2 linked regions of the Oreochromis niloticus genome follow. The protein of the gene in region 1 interacts with the protein of each later gene in a biochemical or structural test. Links are inferred from orthologs where the notes say so. Each region holds a gene or a part of one and is shown in the gene's direction. Other genes may lie near its edges.

Region 1 (11,061 bases):
CACGTTATATAAATCCACTAAACACACAATATTCACACATGGGCCCCACACACACTCACATTCACACTTGTTGCAGGCCTGTTTGCTGCTCACGCCGGACGATGGAGAAAAATCCTCTTCTCCCCAGTAAGAGCACAAAAGTCTGACTTACAGTTCCGTTGCTCGGTAGGTCGCCGTTCACCAGTCCCACACTAAATCCACTCCCTGCGGACCCGATGCTGTCTCTGCTACAGCGCGTTAGCCAGTCACTGTCCAGCTCTCCGACAGTCCACAGCAGCTGCCTCCGTGGCGCAGCCAAGCAGTCCGGGCTAGCCTTTAGCCTCGGCGGTCGTAGCTGGAAACACAGTTTTCCACGGACGGTGGTGCGACCGTTGAAACAAAAAGTCACTTCACCCACACTCTGTTGCGAAGCTCTCACACGGTTAGCTTTCTAGTCACACACTCTTTTGTGCAAGTTAACCTCAGTAAAACTAGCCGAGTCTCTCACTTTGGTTCAGCTAACCTCGTGCATCTCTCCATGCCGTTCTCTTCTGTGAACTGTGAACACCTTATGTGGCGTTCAAGTCCATGGGAATTATGATTATCTACTCCCAAATTCCCATCCGGGCTACATAAGTATCGGTTCATGGTATCGGTTAACTTTTACGAGTACGAGTACGCACACATTTTACAGTATCGGCCCCGATACCCGATACCAGTATCGGGATCGGTGCATCCCTAACTATATGCTTTAGCAAAAAGGAAAGTTTGAAGCCTAATCTTGAAAGTAGAGATAGTGTCTGTCTCCCGAATCCAAACTGGAAGCTGGTTCCACAGAAGAGGGGCCTGAAAACTGAAGGCTCTGCCTCCCATTCTACTTTGAAATAGAGATTGAAAATGTGACGTCATTCAGGGGTAAAACCGCAAAGGATTGTGGGAACGAGTGGCAAGCCATACTAGCGCACGCAGGCTTTCACATGAAAACAGTCACACAGCGATAAAAACAAACACAAAATGGCAAGAAGCTGTTGTATTATTAAATGCAATAGCCGGTCGCATGACAGCCACGGGAAGCCGACGGGTAAAGAAATCGTTTTTATCGGATTACGTCGTGGAAGAAAAATTGTTCAAGCCATGTTTCCGAAGTAACAAAGAGCCGACGGATGGCCTGGATTGCAGCCATTCGAAGACCAAATATAACGTCCCAGAACACTCCAGCTCACATGTTAGTCTGCTCCAAGCATTTCCACAAAGGTACGTCTTCTGTTGTAGTTATTACGTAATTTATCATAACATAATTGTTGATGTAGGTTACAAATAAGTCTTATATTGATTTGAATTGAATTCGTTGCGCTATGCTGCTTTGTTCACTGTGGCTTTGCGGGCTAATGTTTGTTGTGTTTTGTAGGAAAACCAGCCTACAAAATGCTGGAATGCGATGCAGACTGGGCGCCTCTATCAGCCTGGGTCAGACAGAGTTTAAAGCTGCTACCACAGCCAGATTTGATCGGTTAAGAGAGAGAGCGACATCAAAACAGCCACGAAACGTCCCGCATATATGTGCCCAAGGGTTGTATTGAAGCAATCAAGTGATGAATAACTGTTTTCCAGTATGTTGTTTTGCATTGTTGTTTTTCACCGAAGCAGCTAATAAAGCATAATCGAATACAATTTTGCTTCTTTCTTGTAAGATTCTATAATAGAATGAAACAATAATGCCAGTTATATCGTCTTGATGCATTCTCAATCATCCAGGAAAGTAAATCTCCAAAAGTTGAATCTGTTCATCTGGACGTAGCGTTTTGTGGGAGAAACGTTTGGTCACTCATCCAAGTGACTTCTTCAGTCTCAGACGAAACGTTTCTCCCACAAAACGCTACGTCCAGATGAACAGATTCAACTTTTGGAGAATGCCAGTTATAAATAAAGACAATAAATTGAATGAATTACGAAACACTCATGTTATTTCTATTAGATCTGAAAATGTTGTGAAACGACAAATAGATGCGTTTGCCTGTACAGGAGATAAAGGAAAAGAATGTAACAACAGCTGTGAAATGGAATAGTCCAAATCACCAAAGTAAACTGGACCTGGGCTTGTTGCAGGGATCTGAAGTTAATAAACAGCTTGTGAGTGTCTGCACTCACACTTAGGACCATATAGTAATAAATATGTGCGTGATGGAAGTTGGGCAGCACGCTAACGTCCTTACTCCGCTCTGTACGCTCGTACGGGTCTGACCCTTTCACTCCTTTGATTTTTTCCTCGTACTTTTTTTTTTTTTTTTTTTTTTGCCTTTTCGTCAACTCTGTCTTTGTACGGACCTGCCGTGTTCTCCGTCGTTTTGTACATAACTGTTTTTGGGGCAAATAAAATGCAAGTAGGGATTAAAACTGCAGAATTAATGATTACTGGTGCTGGAAATGCTAGCGCTTGATGCAGTGTTTTGATTTTGTTGCCACGGGTACCCAGAATGCAATGCGCGAAAGTCATGTGGTCTGTCAATCTCTGTTCTCTAGGAACAACAAGTAAGCCTGCAGTGTGAGAGCGAAGTGCTCTAATAGGGTGAGATGGTACTTACTATGAGGGCTTGCATTTTGGGTTAACTGAAGGCTTTTAAGGGAGTTTTTGGGACTTCCCGATAATAATGAATTGCAGTAGTCCAGCCTGGAAGTAATAAATGCATGAACTAGTTTTTCAGTGTCACTCTGGGACAGGATATTTCTAATTTTAGAGATGTTGCGCAAATGGAATGTGAACTTGAAATGTGAAGAAGACTCTCCATTTACATGCACAAATTGGAGTCTATTAGATAGATATGATACAAACCACTGCAGTGCAGTACCTGTAATACCTACAGCATGTTCTAATCGCTCTAATAGGATATTATGGTCAACAGTATCGAACGCTGCACTGAGGTCTAGCAGGACAAGCACAGAGATGAGTCCACTGTCAGAGGCCATAAGAAGATCATTTGTAACCTTCACTAAAGCTGTTTCTGTGCTGTGATGAGCTCTGAAACCTGACTGAAACGCTTCAAATAAGCCATTCCTCTGCAGATGATCTGTTAGCTGTTTGACAACTACTCTTTCAAGGATGTTTGATATGAAAGGAAGGTTGGAGATTGGCCTATAATTAGCTAAGACAGCTGGGTCTAGAGATGCTTTTTGAGTAAAGGTTTAACTACAGCCAGCTTGAAGGCCTGTGGTACATAGCCGATTATTAGAGATAGGTTGATCATATTTAAGATCGAAGAATTAATTAATGGCAGGACTTCTTTGAGCAGTTTTGTAGGAATGGGGTCTAAAAGACACGTTGATGGTTTGGAGGCAGCAAATATTCAGAGGAACAAAATAAAAATGTGGTTCCTTATTTAATATCTGATTTTTATCCCCTAAAAATCTCTATTTTTCATATCTGCAGCTTTAAGAATATTTGAACCAAAAACGAAATAAAAAATGAGAAAATGAGTCATTGTACTGAGAAGAGGAGTATTCGTGTTTGACCTTTATGAACTTCCTCTTTCATTTTTATCTGTCATCAGTTTTCTGTAACTCCAACCGAAAAACATGACTGTCACACCCACACATCATCGTCATCATCACCATCTTCATCCTCATCATCAGATCATCGTCATCATGATAACGAGCGTCGTTCTTGTTGAGCGATGATAATGCTGTTCAGTTTGGAGCCACCAGAGGGAGCTAGTGCCCTCTCCTGATTGCGTTTCAAAATAAAAGCCTGCGGGTTTTTGAGCAGCAGAGATTGGACTCAGAGAGGAGTGAAAAGGGGAAGAGGTCTCACTCTGCCGCCAAAAACAGCTCTTAGACTACATCACTGACTTTCTAGGCAGTTATTTTTGTTTAAGCCTCAGAATGCCAGTGGCTAAAAATATAAAGTAAGTTTATAAATTATTTTTAAATCAACTTTCCAGATGTATAAAAAACCTCAGATATGATGCTGACTCGGAGGATCGTGTATTTATGTGTTTTTGTAAAGATAGAAAAAGAAAATATGTGGCTCAGCTTTTAGAACCAACAGGAAGCCCAAATATATATTTATATCATCAAATACCATGTTTTGAATTAATAACATTTTATTTATTGTTCTAAATTAGCATTTGAATCAGTATAACATATACCTCATATAAGTATATTATTATTATTATTTGCAATGTTGAAGCTCAGCATTTATACTTTCTTTATTTTTTATTTTGCTGAATCATTGAGACTGGAACAATTAAAATGAGATTTTACAACATGTGTTTGGTGGCAGCATGGTGGCACGGTGGTTAGCACTGTTGCCGCACAGCAAGAAGGTCCTGAGTTCAATTCCACCATCAGGCCGGGGTCTTTCTGTGTGGAGTTTGCATGTTCTCCCTGTGTTTGCGTGGGTTCCCTCCGGGTACTCCGGCTTCCTCCCACCGTCCAAAGACATGCAGCTTGTGGGGATAGGTTAATTGGATAATCCAAATTGTCACTAGGTGTGAATGTGTGAGTGAATGTGAGTGTGAATGGTTGTCTGTCCTTGTGTGTTGGCCCTGCGACAGACTGGCGACCTGTCCAGGGTGTACCCCGCCTCTCGCCCTATGACAGCTGGGATAGGCTCCAGCGCCCCCCGCGACCCTGAAAAGGATAAGCGGAAGCGAATGGATGGATGGTGTTTCCTTTGCTTCCAAAAATACCAAAAGAAAAGAGTTATTTGTAGTCATAACGAGCTGCCGCGTGATGATTTATGTCATAGTTCATTAAGATAAGCCAAATCACAACAGCTGTTGCCCGGAGGCTCTCATTTATTTGTCCATAATACTTTTGAACCTGAATGTTTCGTTCCATATACAATCAGTAAATTAAGGGAAAACGCTCCCAGCTGAGCCCTCAGGACCAGGTAACTGTATTTCAAGACTGAAGGTTTTTATTTGCAATTTGCGCACAGGACCAACGGTCCATGCATGCTGGAATTATTGCACAGAGCCCTCCAGGTCAAGTTACACTTTTTACAAGATACAGACAAAGCAACTAAAAAAAGGAAAATAGAATTAAAGCAAGGAATAGAGCAATCATAGTATTTACTATATACAAAAACAGTGTACAGAGAGGGTGATAATACACTTCCTAGTACTGGATTCAGTAGCGGTTTTTGATATGGGCGACACGGGCGGTTGCCCGGGGTGGCATCGTGGTGGGGGCGGCATCACGGGCATCGGCAAAAAATTTTTTTTTTTTAAAAAATGCTCGTACTCATGCTGCCCCGACGTCATGCCAGCGCATACTGGGGATGGCATAGGCACTGATCGGTTTTCTATCGCCCATTTGCTGGGAGCAAGGGCGCCCTCGTTTGCGAGGTGCGCCTGCTGCTTGCGGCACAGGGAGGAGAGGGCGGGGCGGCGGGGGAGTCTCTGGCTGGCTGGAGCAGCATCTAATAACCAACTCGCAAAATAAAACAAAATAAAAACAAACCAACAAACACGAAAACACCGGACATCATGATGCAGACTTATAATTTGCACCAATGTTTTTTTGAAATTCTATACGCGAAAAGTGAGCGCGAGAGCCCTCGGTGCGCCTGCTCGGTGCTGAAGTCAAAGTAAACTTTATTGGCATCTCCGCTACATACAGTCCAGTATATAGAGAGACGAGACGACGAGGCTCCAGTTACAGCAGTGCAAGTAAACGAACAATAAATATTTAAGAGTAAAAAAATAAATATACACTTTAGGACTCGGGGTAAAGGGATCAATAACAATTTAAAATTTACAGTTTACAACTTGATGATTTGAAGTCTCACACAACCCGTCGAAAGGGGAGGGGGGCGGCTGCTTCCAAATAGAGCACAGAAGGAGTGTTCACCCAGGGCGCCAAACAGGCTAGGACCGCCACTGACTGGATTAGATTCGATTGGATAAAACTTTATTAATCCATCGGGTGGGTTCCTCCGGGAAATTCAGTTCAATTGCATGCATAACATTGCGCTTATTAATGAATCCTTCATACTACAAACATGTTCTAACTTGCAGGTCATTCAGGTACACAGGATGCAAATAATGCTAGATAAGAAGAAAAAGTAAGAAAACAGAAAAAAATATTGGGGGTTTTTAGGGAGTGAAAATAGAAGAACGCGAAAGCCTCACACCTGGGCCCCTCAAACCCTCAATCAGACGATGATGCACATTTAATCTCAGGTCCTCTGAAGTTACCTGAGAGGTGAAACAGTGAGCGCGTGCAAATTTTCCACACGCCCCTCGTTCCGACCGGAAGTGTTTTGTTATGCACAGTGAGTCATCGCGAGACCAAGAGACGATCTCTGCCTGGTATTTGCTTTTCTGTCTAAAAGCAGCGCAAACCCGCAGAGGCGAGCGGAACGCACGGAGCGGAGGACGCCGACGAAAAACGTCTGGAAATATAGATTTCTCCCCTAATAACGGAGGGAGGGAGGCTGGAGCGAGCTCGAACCGGTCTTACAGGATGAAATAACGCGGGAGAAAAGGTTCGAAACATCCAGGAGAGAGTAAAGACTCAGGAAGAAAGGTGAGTCAAACGATCCCAAACTTCAGTCCAGACTGCGGGTATGAGCCCGACTTCTGAGCGCCGTCTATTTACTGGAGTACACGCACTCCCTTAGGATTTTTATTTTTCAGTGAATCAGCTTTAAGTAGGCCTGTGTGTGGGTGTGTATAAAATAATTTTAGTGTGTCTAACTGTGGATGTAAGTTAAAGAAATGAGAATTTTATCGGTGTACAGATTTTATTTCTGTGCCAGCAGATAGACGCATCCCCTCCTTCTCTAACTGCTGTCGTGGAAAAAAAAAAGTTGGCTTTAGATTTGCTGCAGCAGAAATTTGGCTCGTTTTTGATTTAAAAAGTGACAGATTATCGCTTTAAACTCACAAGGGCTTTATCTAAACCCTAGATTCGGACTATTTTGGGGTGTAGGGGTGTTTTCGGGGGGTTTTGGTGAAGTTTGTTTCGGTAGAATTTGTTTCCAGCTCGGATAGCCGCATTCCTGTTAGCGCTGCTAGCTGCGAGTTAGCTGTGAGCGGGTTTAAGGTGCTGAAACGAAGAAGAAAAACAGGTAAATAAGTTTGTTGTCAAAGTTTTTTAACGGCGCTTTTCGTTGCTGACCTTTAATGTTGTTAGCCTGGTTAGCATCGTGGGCTAACCAGCCGTGTTTCTGTATGTTTACCTGCTTCAAACTCTGATTTTTGACCCACCTGAGCAGGCAGGTAAAGCCACCTGTGAGCTCTGTTTCCAGGCTGCTTCGGCGTGTTTTAAGATGGTTTTGATCTCACTTCTGTCTCTTGTTTATTCCGCCATGTTTCTGGCTTTTAATCGTTCACGTGTCTGCAGCTCATAATCAATACAGTCCACTGATCGACTAATCGATTAACTATCGCGGCTTTTATGTCTTTGCAGTGTGAGAGGTTTTATAAGGTAGCATAAAAGAGTCACTTTTATTTTCATGTACCTCCTTAAAAAATCTTAAAGTACTTATTTAAATTTAAAATACTTTAAATTTAAACAAAGGCCATTTCCTATTTTTAAAATGCGCGGACATGGGAGTAATCTTTCCAATAATCTGTTTATCAGACATATCAAATTAACTTAAAAAACTGCTGCTGGTGTGCAACAGCGGGATGAAAGAGTTCCCGGAGAGGCAGCTGATTCCTGAGCACCTTTAATGTGATCTCATTCACACCTTTGTCTAATAAAAAACTAAACACACCCGCACACCTGGTGATGGCAATGCAGCTTGCCATCACCAGTGTGTGAATGTGTGTGTGAATGGGTGTGTGAATGGGTGGATGACTGGTTGTGTAAAGTGCTTTGGGGTCCTTAGGGACTAGTAAAGCGCTATACAAATACAGGCCATTTACCATTCACATCCACCTCTCACTGCCCAGCACTGTGTGTGTGTGTGGGGGGGGGGGGTTTAACTCACGGTTTCTGTTAAACTGGAGGATCTAACATCCAACCACATCTGGCATATACAGTTTAATCACCTGTATATGAAACCATTACTGGAACAGCCAATCATGTTAAAGGCACATTCATCTGTGTCGTGATTCAGTAGACGTCCTCCTTCTTTACAGCACAGACTCTCACTGTGTTTGCTTATATGAAAATCTCAAACATGAGGCCGACGCTGTAGGAGAATGAGAAGTAAGCGGCTTAAAGTGAGCACAGTTACCTGGACCTGTTTGTTGTATTCAGTAAAAACGATGCGTGAGCTCTTTAACAATGCTCTGTGTCCTCTGTGTCATGTTCAGCGTTTACACACCCCTGTCATGTTTCATCATTGATGACCAATGCAGAAATAATAAAGAGGAGATTTAACATCACAACAATAATAATTTAATCTAAATGGTCTTTAGAGTCCGTAAAATTCCCTTAAGATGAAAAGTGATGTGAGGTTTTCAGAGTCGTTGTGTCAGATGCTAGTTTGAAATGTAACAATGACTGTTGAAGCGTTTTTGGCTGTGGAGGCAGAGCGAGTCCAGATGTGCAGGGAAAACCCTGAAGCCCGAACTGCCCGCCTTGTGTGGGCGAATGACATGAAAATGCCAAACATTATTTTAATTTACAGCAGGAGTGGGCGATATGAGGTATGTCACGATATTTCTAGAACATTTGGGATCATCCTACCAGTGATGCTTGCAGCTCTGCAGCAGCATCTGTAAATGTAAATCAGCGACTTTACAGCCAGTGATGAGGCGTTAACACTCGAGTTTAACGGTAACTAACTCGTCAGGCACGATTTTGTCACATTTCCTAACTGGGATCTTAAATGCTGGTCGAGCTCTTTGAAGAGCTGCTTTTTCACCGATGTAACGGCATCATCAGTGATTCTATCCAGCTAGCGACGCTCGATGGTCATTTGTCCAGATTTGGGTCCCACGTCACCGGCTGCTCGTGTCTTCTTTGTTGGAAGCGGGGTGTTATCGATGAAAGAGGGGTGCAGAGCAATGCAAATATCGATCATATCGATACCAATGCTGGTATAGGTACTGGATTGATCCAAGCACGACAGGATCCTTAATATATGCTTATATTAATTATAATTAACTTGCCTTTACAGATATGCGTACTGGTATCTGCAACACTGGCCCTGTGTTTACCTCTGATTTGCAGCATCATGCAGCACTGCTCGATGGTGTGTGCTTTTGGGAGGGTGTTGAAGTAGCTACTGCTTTAGGTACTAAATCATCATCACAGGCTGCTCTCGCTCTCAGACATGTCTGGGCTTGTCTTGCTGTTGCACACACCAGGGAACTTAAACATGACAACATGACACTTTAATATCACTCAAAGTTTTATACCAGTGTTGTGCCGACGATACGATTTAGAGGCACAGAGTCGGTAAAAATCGCCTGAAGAGTTTGTGGCATGAGAACTGCAGCGTGTTGGGATGGTTGCAGTAAAATCCTGCATGATGTTTCTGGACCACATGTTTAAGAATCTAAGTGATCCTCGTACATGCTAAAGACTGTCTGTTTGTTTGATTATTGGACAACAACCTCGAGCAGCTAAGAGAACCAGAGAAGTGAGGTCCCAAACAGAGTAACAGATGCAGGCTCTTTCTTAATCCAAGTGACTTAAAAACAGGCTTAAACCTACAAAATACACGAGTTTTGGGGTGTTTAGTGCTGATTTCCTGGTTGTTTGCATGTTTGCTTACTGTATATGGATGCAGGGATGATAACAGATATTATTTTCACTGTAAGCCGACTGCTGATGCCTCGAATGGGCCTCTGATAAACATTTTTGACCCGCATCGCTTTAGGCGGCGTCTTTTAATGGCTGCTGAGAAGAGGAGGAAAACCTGTTTGGCTGCCCCTGTGAGACCTGGCTGCTGGCATTTATCTGCCTCCTGCATGTGGGTCATTAAAAGGTCTTCAGTGACAATCAGGAGGAAGAAGCTTCAGAAATGTTGCTGAAAGTAGATGCCAACCCTCTGGGTCTTCTTCTTTGTTTTGTCTTTTGCTGCGTCTTTAACTCTGTTAATGGTACAGAGTCTCTTAATATTGTTTAATGCCTGTTTGAGTATTTTTAAAAGGCTTTAGAATCTGTAAGGGTGCATGAAGCCTTGTAGGGGTTTTTAACATGTTTAGAAGCTTTAACAGTGTCTCAATTCTGTTTATTGCATCCAAAGTCTTTAAAGAGTGTTGTGTTTAAAGTCTAAGGGTGTCTAAGCTGGATGTCCGTCTGTCGTCTGTTTAGTAGTTAGCTTTGAGATGCTAACAAACAGAAATCAGACAGTCCGTGCATGCATCCAAACCTCCACAGCTAAACGGCTAAAACCACCAAATGACGTCTTCAGGTTCCTTTTTCCTGTCTGCAGCCTCACATACTCTGTTATAATAACTTAAATCATGCGTTATATTTTACTGTATTTTAAAAAGGTCTACAGAAAGCATTGACGTCGTTGTTGCTCTCACAGCCTCTACCTTTGCAGGCCGCCTCCTCTTCCTCCTCCCTGATAGGGAGCAGAGGCACACAGCAGGGCGGAGAGCGGGTGTTAGAAATTAAAATCTAGTATTATCCGTGTTTCAGGCAGCTGTACATTCCTCAGCCAAGCCTAGATCACTGTAACCGAAATAACACTGACAGCAGGCGAGTGAGCGAGGCCACAACAAGAGAAACGGGGGGGTTCTGAAAAAGATAAGACTGACAGTCATCTTCTCCTCCTCCTCCTCCTCCTCCTCCTCCTCCTCTTTGTGTCATAAAACCACTGAATCTTTATTTTTTGAGTCATGTTTACAGTTTAAACCTAAAGACATTCCGAGGGATCGGTGATTTCTCCTGTGTTCCATAAGTAAATGATCTATACCTATAAAATGGCACCAGACCAGACCAGTGTACAGGAAGACACCAGTTAATGCTAATGGAGTCTTGCAGGGCAGCTAAACCCTGTATCCCCGTGCAGCCACAGATTACATTTTCTTAGCTAAGTGTGCAAAGGTGTGTTTGTCATCTTCAAACAAACAGTCGTCCGTTTAATTGTGGACAGTCCTCACGCTCTTATTTTGAAAGTTTGACTTTTTATCTTAACCAAAGGGGAGGGGGCATTAGAGAGCTCTCTTG
Region 2 (11,200 bases), on another chromosome or scaffold:
GACCTCAACATTATTAAAGCAATATGAGAGCATCTTGACAGAGAATGGAAGAAAAGGCAACCAACAAAGGGAAGCTTTGACATGTCTCGGCCTGATGAGTAAAGGTGGCCACGCCAATTGTTAGAAATAATTACAAGCGTGTTATGTTTACACATGTTTCAATAAATTTCTATTAACCATTTGCCTATTAAAAGATAAAGAAATGACTATAACTTAAGACTTTTGCACATTACTGTGTCATTCCTACATTATAATTAATTAAATGAGGTGGTGGGATTGATGTCTGAGAGTATCTCCTACCACTGTGATCTTCACTACTTCACAACTATAGTAAACCCTAAATAGTAGTATTTGACATCTATGATAAAAAATAGAACCCAGATTCATGATAACATTGGTGAATGCAGCATTGATTACCTTTAATTTTATATTTCTTTCATTTTTTTTCTTCTTTCATTTCAACACTATCATGTCTTCTTCGCCCACACAGGGATGTTAGCATATCCCAACTGCTTGGAATTCCTTCCCTCCGTCTTGAGAGCACACACTGCATTTTAAAACTTGTCAGATCCTTTTAAGTTTTATTTGAAAGTATGTAATTACATTCTTAAAAGCATAACAGGTCGCCGGAGTGATTTACGCGCTACATTAAATGTCAAGTGTCGAAAAGATACTGTTAACACTCGTGTGTTTTTGGAGCGAAAAGGTAACAAAGTGGAAACATTTGGAATTGGAGCAGAAGCTTTGAATGCACTTCACTTCTGGTAAGTTTTGAATTTTGTGTTGGTTCATTTGGGGGAGCTGCGGCTCTTCTGTGGCCCATTTATGATTTATGAGGTTAGGCTCTTTGTCACTGATAGAATTAAAGAGTAGATAGGCAGTCTGATTTGTGTCACTCATTTCGATACAGCTTTCTGCTTTCAGTCGGGGTCACTGAAGGTGGTATGTAACTTTCTGAAAAATGGATTAGTAAAGTTTTGGAAAGATCTGCCTTTCTTTTTATTATGGCTTGAGAAAGTAAAATATGGCAGCAGTTTTCTTGCTGAATGGCAACTTTGTGCGGTGACCTCATAACTTGATTTGGAGAATATTACACAGTCGTTCTTATCCAAAAAGAATCCTAGATATTCAATTTTGAAACACTGGTCACAGGATCTCTCAGGGCACTGTATCAGCCTTCTGCATGCATGTTATTTAATTATGTTCTATTCCTGGTTGATTTCCATCTATTCAAGTCTAATCTATTTTTCTCTCGAGCTCCAGAGCATAACACTTGTGAAGTTCTCACCACTGGAGAATTTATTCTGCTACCTCTTAGCTTGGCCTCTTAGGGTCTGTGGTGTGGCCAAAGTCAATTCCCCCTCTCAGATTAAAGGAGTATCTTCAAGTGCCAATCCAAATGGTGATAAAAAAGCTTTTTAATCCATTGAGAAAGTTTCCCAGCGTAACCCCCCAGAGTCCCGGCATCAGGCGTTGCTGCACTCAGGCTGTGTCTGGACAGTGTTGAAGCCCAAGTGTGTCTTCCTGCACCCTGACAGAGAGAGGGAAAGGCTCAAAAAGCCCCCCTCTGCAGCTCACTTGACCAGGTCTCTTTGATAACATCTGGCAGGGCCAGGATTGCACCAGTGACAGCATGAGATGGACAGACATTAAAGTCCGCTCACTCACAGCTCCACATCATTTGACACACAGAGCCTCAATCTCACATGCCCGAGTGTCACTGATGATCTCTCTTTGTAACGGGCCTGATGATATTTTCCAGCAAGAGTGCCAATAAGATGGTGACTTGGCATGGCTTCTTTTTATTGTGAACTCAAAAGGCCACTGATACTGTCTTTGCTAAAGTTTTTGTGTGTTTCTTTGACTACAGAAGAACAAAACCCCAAGTAGGTCGGCAACTTTTTGCTTAAACATTCTTTGTAAAAGGGGAGTTATAGGGTTTATTTAAGCATGACATCTGTTGAACGGGGTGGGCTGGAAAAGATGCTGGGCCACCTTTGTTCTCGTGAAAGAGACTGGAAGCAGTTTGGTGGGGGAAAGAAGAGTTTCAACACAGTTATCCCAGAGAGGCTCAGACCAGTTCAACATCCATCCTTCTCCATTTTCTTTTTGTTTACTTCTAGGTTCATGAGTTTACATGCCAATTCCATTACAGGGATTAAAATAGTTTGTCCAATCTATCCTCAGACTTTGCTTCCCTTGTCTGTCTCCCTCCCTGAACCCCCCACACCACTTACAGACTTTTAGGTCTCAAGGCTGGGTTAGGGGATTACAGGACAAGCAACCCTCAGCCCGAGAACCCAAAGAAACACGAGGCAGCTGTGCTGAAGAATGTTCCAGTGAGAAATCCAAGCATTAGCAGTGAAAGCTGAGGTTTGATCAATGGCTGTGGCGCGTGTCTGCACTAGTGAGCACTTTGCAGAGCCTCTGAGGTAGAAAAAAAGAGAAAATTAAGGTGTGTTATGACATCAGGCTGGAGGTCTAGGTGCTCGGGTCACCTTTGAGTTGCTGCTGATTAAGGGCTGGTGTTCACAGGTGAGCAGCTCCGAGCAGGATTTAGTGACACAGGTAGGTGAAATCACTCCACTCTCCCAGCTTACGTTAAAACAGCAAAGCTGCTGACCTTTCCCCGCAAATAGCTGCAGGCAAATGTCAGAAGATAAGTGAGCTCTTTGACCTGCTCAGTTTAGTCAAAGAAAAGAAAAACAGGATGAACTTTCCATGCAACTTCTACCTTCCTCAATAGATGTTTGCGCTACCAGAATTCTGATGTTTTTACATGCCTGAATTAGACATTTCGGGAATTTTTTGCCATCTATAGAAAACTTTGGACTCAGAGGTTCATGTTGCAAGCAGTGGGAAAGCTCCTCACTGACTACCTGTGGTTCTAAGCCGCCCGCATTTGATAATCTCCTTCGTAACTGAGGAGCTCAAAGAGGCTAAACCCAGTCAACAGCTTGGAATGGGAATCCACCACATTACTTGCACTCAAGACAGTTTTGAAAGTTAACCTTTCAGTCCACTTTAGGGTGACTTGTGGTGTATTTCGGATTTTAAAAAATCCCACCTTTAATCTAAAAGGATCACAACTTTTACTAAGAATATAGTAGAATATTTTTAAAGTGTGAATATATGTGTGTTCATAACCATACGATGAGTATGAGTAAAAAATATTCCACGTAATAATGATAATAAAGATCTTAGAGCTTTACTGAGACAACTGTTTTTTAATCATCTAAAAAAATGAAATCCACTCTCATGCAGGCAAATCACATACTTTACATCTATCATATCTGACAGGTGACGTGTGCTTGAACTGTTTAACTTTTCTTTTTTCACTGGTACAGGATGGATTGAGTTTTATCTTATCTGTCCAAAATAAATTGCGCCATAATTCAGGGTTTTGTTTTTATTTTTTTTCTGCTTGTTTGTGTTTACTTCACTAGTTTGAAGCTTATCTTCAGTTTAAAACTTGCAATACAAAGTCATGCTGGTGTAATCTTGTTTTGATGGATGAGACAACCACAGGTTACGTACATCACCCTGATGCAGTCTTATACATCTTTGTATCTTTGTGACCTCACAGAAACATCCTGTCCATTGTTAATTCACCTAAAAACACCGAGAGGATTATTATGTTGGAATTTCCACCCGCACATTAAATAAACTGTCGAAGAGGAAACAGACTCTTTTTGTTGGTTTGTCTTTTTTTTTTTTTTTTTTTTTTTTGCTTTAATTAATCATAAAACCTAAAGTCAAATAGGACTGAATCTCTGAATGGCAATCAACATAATGAAGAGGGTTTAAGGACTTGAGAGGAACCAGTTTAACAGCAAAAACGTCTCTAAAAGGGCAATCTATAAGATTATTAGTTTAAAAACTAATCAAAAAAGTAAAGAATTCAAAGCTATAACAATATGGAAAAGATGTTTGTATTGTATTACAGACATTGTATCAGCACTGACTCATATTATTCCACAATGCAACTTTTAACTCAAGATGTGATATAATGTACCATCCAGTATTTACTCAGTCTATCATGAGAGAGGGAATTACTAGTGTGTATTATTCTGACATGCTGTCAATCATGATGCAAGACAGGAAGTGGAGATATTAGCAAGTAACAATCAGAAAACTGGATTATTGTGAAAGCCATCGAGCTATAAAGTCTGCTTTAGCCTAGCACCACTTACTGCACACAAGCTTGCTCACATAATTCTGATTTCTATGCTGTAGTAGTACTTATTGATAGAAGACTGGATGCTCTCCGTGCACCTTAGAAATCAAAGAAATCAAAAATAAGGAGGCAGAATAGCACTCCTAAATATCCAGAGTGACCGCCGTGGATTTTTTTGTAAAACAATACAACAACCCCTGCTTGATTCTACCATGCACAGCTTTACAAAGCAATTTACAGTCTAAAACTCATCCTGCACCAATACACAGTACATCAGATGGAATTTTAACAATACTGCAACTCAGTGGGGAACCACAACCAAATGAATGCAGGTGCATCATTTTTTTGTTGTTGTTGTTTTTTTGACAACAGGAAGTTTAAGTTACATTATACAAAGAATAATACAGTAACTGTAGTACTGTAGTAAAACTGAAACTGCACGACCTGACACTCATCTATGCATTCTAACTCTTGCCAACCCTACAAGCCTGTAATATTAAATAAGACTCTTTGGGCACTGGTGTGATTATTCAAGCTGTCAAATCTTCAGTTAAAATTGATTAAATATGGATCCTCAAAAAAAGAAAAAGAAAAAAAGACAGGAAAGGAAAAAAAGCTCTAAGTCTGACCACAAATAAATGAGCAAGGTCTTATCAAAAAGACAAAATGCACATGTATACAGTGCATAATGCGGGAAGACTAAAATCTGGGAAAGAACAAGTGGAAATAATATTTATTAAGACTGCAAACAAACTAAAACAAATCTGTAATGTTTCTGGCACATTTTAAATGCTTTTTAAACATATACAGGAGCAGAAACGTTTTAGTCATAACACGGGGAAACGGATTTTTATCTTTTTAAGCAGCGGTTCTCGCCAAACGGAATCATTCAAGGAATAATTTCAGTCATACTTTTGAAAAGCACGATTGAAAAGAACATGATGGCTGAATTTACATCTTTTTTAGTACGTGGTAATAATTGTGATTATCTGCTTTATTAATATCGTTTTCTTTATCACCGTTCCACATCCGTAGTTCTAAAATGACAGTCATTTTAAAATCATGGCACAGATGGCCCACTGTGGGGTTAGGCAGATTGAAACGGCCCGCTTTAACCTGTATGTTACACAAGTACATAACACGGTGATACCAGTCATATAAAATGTCTATATGTTAAATGAACCCTCTACTAAGTTTAAAGTTCGGTGGAACCCCTCATCAAAAGCACTATCGAAACATGGATCCACGGCATGCGATCGTGGAATAATTTCAGATGACGATAACAATAAGAAGTGCAAGAGACAGAAAAACTATTTTGTAAAGTTGTACATTAGTGGGGACACATCACTTATATCGGGGAAGCCAATCACTTTGAATACATTTCATACATTTTGATGAAGGATTATAGAAAAAAAACTTTGACCAATAAAAATGTACGCACGTGGCCACGAATATATATTTTTTAGTAATTAAATATGCATAGCATTTTTAAAGTTTACTTCGGTAGACCAGTTGTTTACATCTGCAGGTACGCAAGGCGTTTATTTATTTATTTTTTTTAGGTAAGGTCACTAACATGTTGCATATGGAGACTTACCGGGCGTTTGACCCGCTGGGCGTTATTTAAAGTCAAAATGCAAAGTTTCACATAGTGAAAAGGGGAAAAAAAGCGCAGTGAGTTGTCTTTATTTAAAGTGGAGGAGGAGGAGGAGAAAAGGGGGGGGGTTATCCAAGGTGTTTGAGACAGATGAGGGAGGTGGGGGTCGTGGAGGAAGGAGGAGGCAGAGAGGGTAAATTGGGCGGACACATAAAAACTGCAAGGGGCCATAGATGCTGGATCATTTGAAAGCCGTCCTGCGCGCCGATCGCCCTAGTGAGCTGCACTGGAGACGAATAAGAAGCCCCGCTGCAGAGCCCGAGCGCCGGCCTTCACAACTCTTGTCCGTTCTGAGGTGTCGCTAAAGGATTAATGAGCCAAAAAGGCGCATAATTTCTCCTTTAAGGCTCATTTCGGCATTTTTTCGGCGTTACGCCTGGACTGCCTTACACCTCCCCTTTCATATTCACTTCATTCGAGGATACCTGTACCTCTACTGATGGTAAGCGCTCACCAAACGACACACATCAAAGAGTCAACAGCGAAACTTTAAAAAAAACAACAACACAGACACACACACATCTTTGAGCAAGAGAGGCTCTCGCTGAAGTGTTGTTACTTTAAGTTTGGGTCTCTCCTTTGTGCGCATTTAAGCGACTCCGCTGAGTTTTAACACCGTTCCGGGATAAATGTGCGAGAATAAACGGGCATAAAAAACACCTCACAGCGTGCGGAACTCATTCAAAAACCGATATAAAAGTGCATTTTGGAACGAATGGCGCTGTGATAATGGCCAAACAAGTAACAGGTTAAAGCCTATTGTGCCCGAGACTTGAGCCGATGACAAATCAAGATGAGGTCATGTCCAAACACAGCGTCAGATTTTGCTGTTTTGTTTTTTTATGTCTTTCACTGAAATCGCCAGCGTTGCGCACGTGTATGCATTTTATAATTCAGTTTAACACTGATTAAACACCTGTAACTGCTTCTTGTCATCCAAGTATGAAGGCTTGCACGAACGATGGAGGTTGACAGATCAGAGATGAGCGATAATGAAAATAAGTTGGGGGGGGGGTTCTCGCAAAAGATGAAGTTCATTTCATTTTACCGCACGAGTTTTGAACAATAATTGACGCGTAATTGCGCCAGTTGACTGAGCTGGCGTCCAGTAATGACATAATGCTTGCAAAAACATGAAATACTAATACATTACAGCTGCAGAGTCTTGCAGATGTGAGTCCGGTTTGTAGTCCACTCACGTGTTTTTCACCTGTTTGTAACAAGTCGTTGTAAAGATAAGTCCTGTCATTTAATCCGGTAAAACTGCAGCAGGGAAAATTGCGGCCTGCGGACGCCCGGTCTCCTTGGTACTCAGTTTAGTTTGCAACTCAAATTCATCTCGTGAACTGCAAAGGAGCAGACACACACACACACACACACACACACACATATATATTTTAAAGAAGTATATTAAAGAAGTCACATGTCACTTCTGGTGATGGCTTTAATTTTTTTCGGTCGTTTTCCTTGTCAGCCTCCGTCTGATTGTTCTGGGTTTTCCGTTATTAACGCACAATTAACAACACAATATTTTTTTTTTATTTGAAAGAAAACACGTGCCATTGACATTTCCCCCTTTATCTTTTAATAAAAGAAAAAAAACCGACAGGATACATTAAAAAATCCCACACACCTCATCTTTTCCCTCAGACGTTTTGCCTTTCGTTTATAATGCCAGAGATACATCGTTGTATGTTGTAACTTCGAGCTTGAGAAATTAAAAAAATATCCAAACCTGCACATAAAATAATGAATTTTGTTAGGCTGACTGGTTAAATTTTATTATTTAGCTTTGTTAATTTGGTTACTATAAAGCAAAAAAAAAAAAAGACAGGAAAAAAAAGAAAGTGTTTGACATTTGGGGTTTTGTGTGTGTGTGTGTGTGTGTGTGTGTGTGTGTGTGTGTGTGTGTGTGTGTTTCTTTACCTATTGCTCATTGCAAGAGCAGGGCATTATTTGGGGACTACCATTCAAAGACATAAATGTCTTCTAATTATACAGGCAGTAACCAGAACCAAGCATAGACATTGCTGCTGATCAATAAGTATAATCCCCGTGACTAAAATGATAAAATCAGGCCTCAGATTTGTTCCACAGTGACCTGTTGCTCTCCTCCCTCTCTCCCTCCCTCATTCCCATCCTCCCTCCCACCATCACTGTCAAATTCCTCAGGAAACACATCTGAAGAGCCATGTGCATAGTCTGATCACATTATCTCTGGTCAGAGAGAGACAGAGAGAGAGAGAGAGAGAGAACGAGAGAGGCCAAGGGGGATCAAGCAAAGCCAAGGGCAGTTTGACTGCTGCAGCCTAATTGCACCCTGGTCTGCAACCGTTGCTGCAAAATGTATTTCTGTCACTTAGTGGAAAGCTTTTCTGTGTGTCCAGCTTTGTTTTATAATCTCATGTTGTTTTCATTGGTTTGACTGAGAGGGCAATAAATGACTGCACGTTTTTGATGCGTGCAGAGGTGTGGGGGGCGATTTTGTTGCTGTTGTTGTTGTTGTTGTTTTTTAAGAATTTGGTGTAAAATTATTTCTTATCACTCTTGGTGAAAACAGGCCAGTAAACACGAGCACACTGGCTTGAGAGACACAGAGCTGAGAGTTACTCCCTGTCTGCCTTACATCTTCTTTCATCATCATCACACCATTTTGAGTGTCTGTCTGTTTTAGCCTGCAGCTTTGTCAGTGGCTGGTTACAGTTACAAGATGTTCTGTATGGTCAGTGTTTTTGAGTGCTATGAATCCCTGTAATCATGGGAGAGGCCCTCTCTGTACAATGAACGTTTGTTGTCAGAGATGTACACACACAGACTCTCTCACACACACACTCACACACACACATTTATCCCCTCACCCCATGGGTAATAGAGCTGATCATGTTCTGAATCCTCCTCACTCTTTTTGCTGCAGTTCTCACGAACATGCAAATGGTGGCACACACTTATGCGGACACGCACGTCAATGCATGCGCTCCGTTTTGCAGTCGTGCGCGCGCACACTGCATGTCACCCTCTCTTCTTGCACAGTGGATCTAGTGTCATGACCGAGAAAAGGAGGGTCAATCGGAGGTCAAAGTCTAATACCGTTAGGGAAATAGATCCTAGATTGCATGTATAGTGAGGCATGAAGGAGGCAAGTTAATCACATAGATATGAAGCCAGGCATGCTAGCAAGCTGAAAAACACAAACTGTATGTGACACACACACACATGCAGATAGAGTGTGTGCTAATATGCATCCTCACTGTGTAGTAATTCTTGGTTGTGCTCCAGTGGAACAAGATCCAAATGATGACCGAAGCCTTGTGTCACTTTGGAGTGTTTGTTCCATGATGCTGTTGTTGTGGTCACTTAAAATTCAGTAACCTTGTTAGTGCGATTCAGCAGCATTTAACACTTCAAATGAGGTGTACAAACTGAATCATTTGATCCATATTGTTCTTGTTAAACCTGCCTGTTAAAGCTCTGACTTTTCCTTTTTGGAAAGTGGTTCTTTTTTGTGTGTAGAAGTGTTTTTTTGTTTTTTTTTTAAAATTAGGGTTCTGGAAGCACATTCTGCTCAGTATATCATGCATACATCAGTGGTGAATGTACTACTGTATGTACAGTGTTGTCAAAGTAGAGAAGGCCTGCCATCAGCGTCACAACCCATGTGAGCTCTAAAATGGAAGAGAAGCTCTTCTAAGAAGAATCTGTTTAGTTCCTTGTCTAAAATAGGTCATCTCAGTTGCTTGGAGGGGTAAAGGCTGAGTAGATTTTCAGTTTTAGTAAACCAACAGCCCTCTTATCTTGAATAAAGAGTTTACTAATTGTGATCAGACTTGTTTTGTGCTCTGTGGGTTCTGACGTTTTTCTGTTGAACCTGGCGCTAATCAGATTTTGAGCTTGTCATTAATGTAAAGTAGGAAGCTGCTTTTCAAATGGGTGTCTCTGAAATAGATGTAAGTGTTGATTAAGTTGTATTTTCTTACCAAGGTGGGTGTCAAGCGTTAGGTATCTGCTGTCTGTGTTGTAGCACATGCCTACTTACATTCCACTTACAGCAAATAGCTAGCTTACCCACTAGCCAAAATGATAAGCCTTAAAGAGACACTGGGTCTCTCTCTTACCCATAAACACACACATACACAAGCTGACACAGATAGACACACAAGCTCCTGTGCTACTCTTTGAAGAAATGCTATGTAACAACCTCAAGTGTTTGCAAGTGTCAGTTCACAATATCCCTGTGTTTTTTGCCTTCATCTTTCAGGAACAGGGTCACTTCAAAGTTCTCCTGCAGCCGCCCAACGCCACCTGACATTTCCTAGAAGAACGGGTCCATTGCCTGCTCCCAACAAACATGGACTGTTTCCCCATGCTTTATTTTCTGTCGGTAAGTAAGTGGGCCATGCCATTTCAATTTGCGGCATGTGACACGCCGCTACATCTTGCATCTCCCTTCTCTCTGTCCGCTGACTCACTCGTTTATGTGGCATCTATCCAGAGGAAGAGCTTTTTCTTATAAGTGTGTGGCACAAAGTCCCAGGTTTGAGCCATGGTTTGTTTGAGCAGAATGTGTAAGACCGAGACTTCTTATCAAGTTAAGAATTTGCTTAGACCCCAGGGCAGCCTCTTTTATTTGTCTAATTATAGTGGAGGAGACAAGGAGGAAGGGAGATAGTGGGGAGGAATGGCCCTGAGATTCCATTCAAAAAAAAAAAAAAGATGGGTTCTTGAGCTAGCTGTTTACCTTTGGAGGATAGAGATAAACTCTAAATGGTCTATCTGATCGGAGACTACTTTACTGTAAACAAGGCAGACTGGACTATTGAAACTAATTAGTCTGCCTTTAGTGGGAACATTTATACAAGAGAAAATAATGGTGTTTTGGATGGAGGGTAAGACAAATCTTATAGCTGCCTTTCTCTTCCTTTCTTTTCTGTTTACTTCCTATCTGCTCTATTGAGCCCTTTCTTAATCATTTATCTCCCTGTTCCATCTGCTGCTCTCACCAGAGACATCATGATTCCTGGTAATCGAATGCTGATGGTCATTTTAATATGCCAAGTCCTGCTGGGAGAGAGCAACCATGCTAGTCTGATACCTGAAGAAGGAAAAAAGAAAGTACCTGGCCTGCAGGGTCGTTCGGCCGCTCAAAGCCATGAACTGTTGCGGGACTTTGAGGCCACGCTGCTGCATATGTTCGGCCTCAAAAGGCGGCCGCGGCCCAGTCGTTCAGCCACTGTGCCCCGCTACCTGCTGGACCTTTATCGGCTACAGTCGGGCGAGGCTGAGGAGGCCGGAGCGCACGACATTGCTTTTGAGTACCCAGAGAGGTCAGCCAGTCGGGCCAACACTGTGAGGGGCTTCCACCATGAAGG

The links.
Region 2: the proteins of bone morphogenetic protein receptor type-1A (region 1) and bmp4 form a complex in vitro, tested with the Homo sapiens proteins (3 studies listed by BioGRID and IntAct, with this or other methods). The link is inferred for Oreochromis niloticus from reciprocal best matches to the Homo sapiens genes BMPR1A and BMP4.

Annotation. Positions count from the first base shown.
Region 1 is NC_031978.2:119,913-130,973, forward strand, and holds the start of bone morphogenetic protein receptor type-1A, read left to right. Parts: upstream 1-6,269; 5' UTR 6,270-6,507; intron 6,508-11,061. UniProt on the Homo sapiens protein: On ligand binding, forms a receptor complex consisting of two type II and two type I transmembrane serine/threonine kinases.
Region 2 is NC_031983.2:16,787,369-16,798,568, forward strand, and holds the start of bmp4 (bone morphogenetic protein 4), read left to right. Parts: upstream 1-5,988; 5' UTR 5,989-6,276; intron 6,277-10,089; 5' UTR 10,090-10,212; intron 10,213-10,834; 5' UTR 10,835-10,841; coding exon 10,842-11,199; intron 11,200-11,200.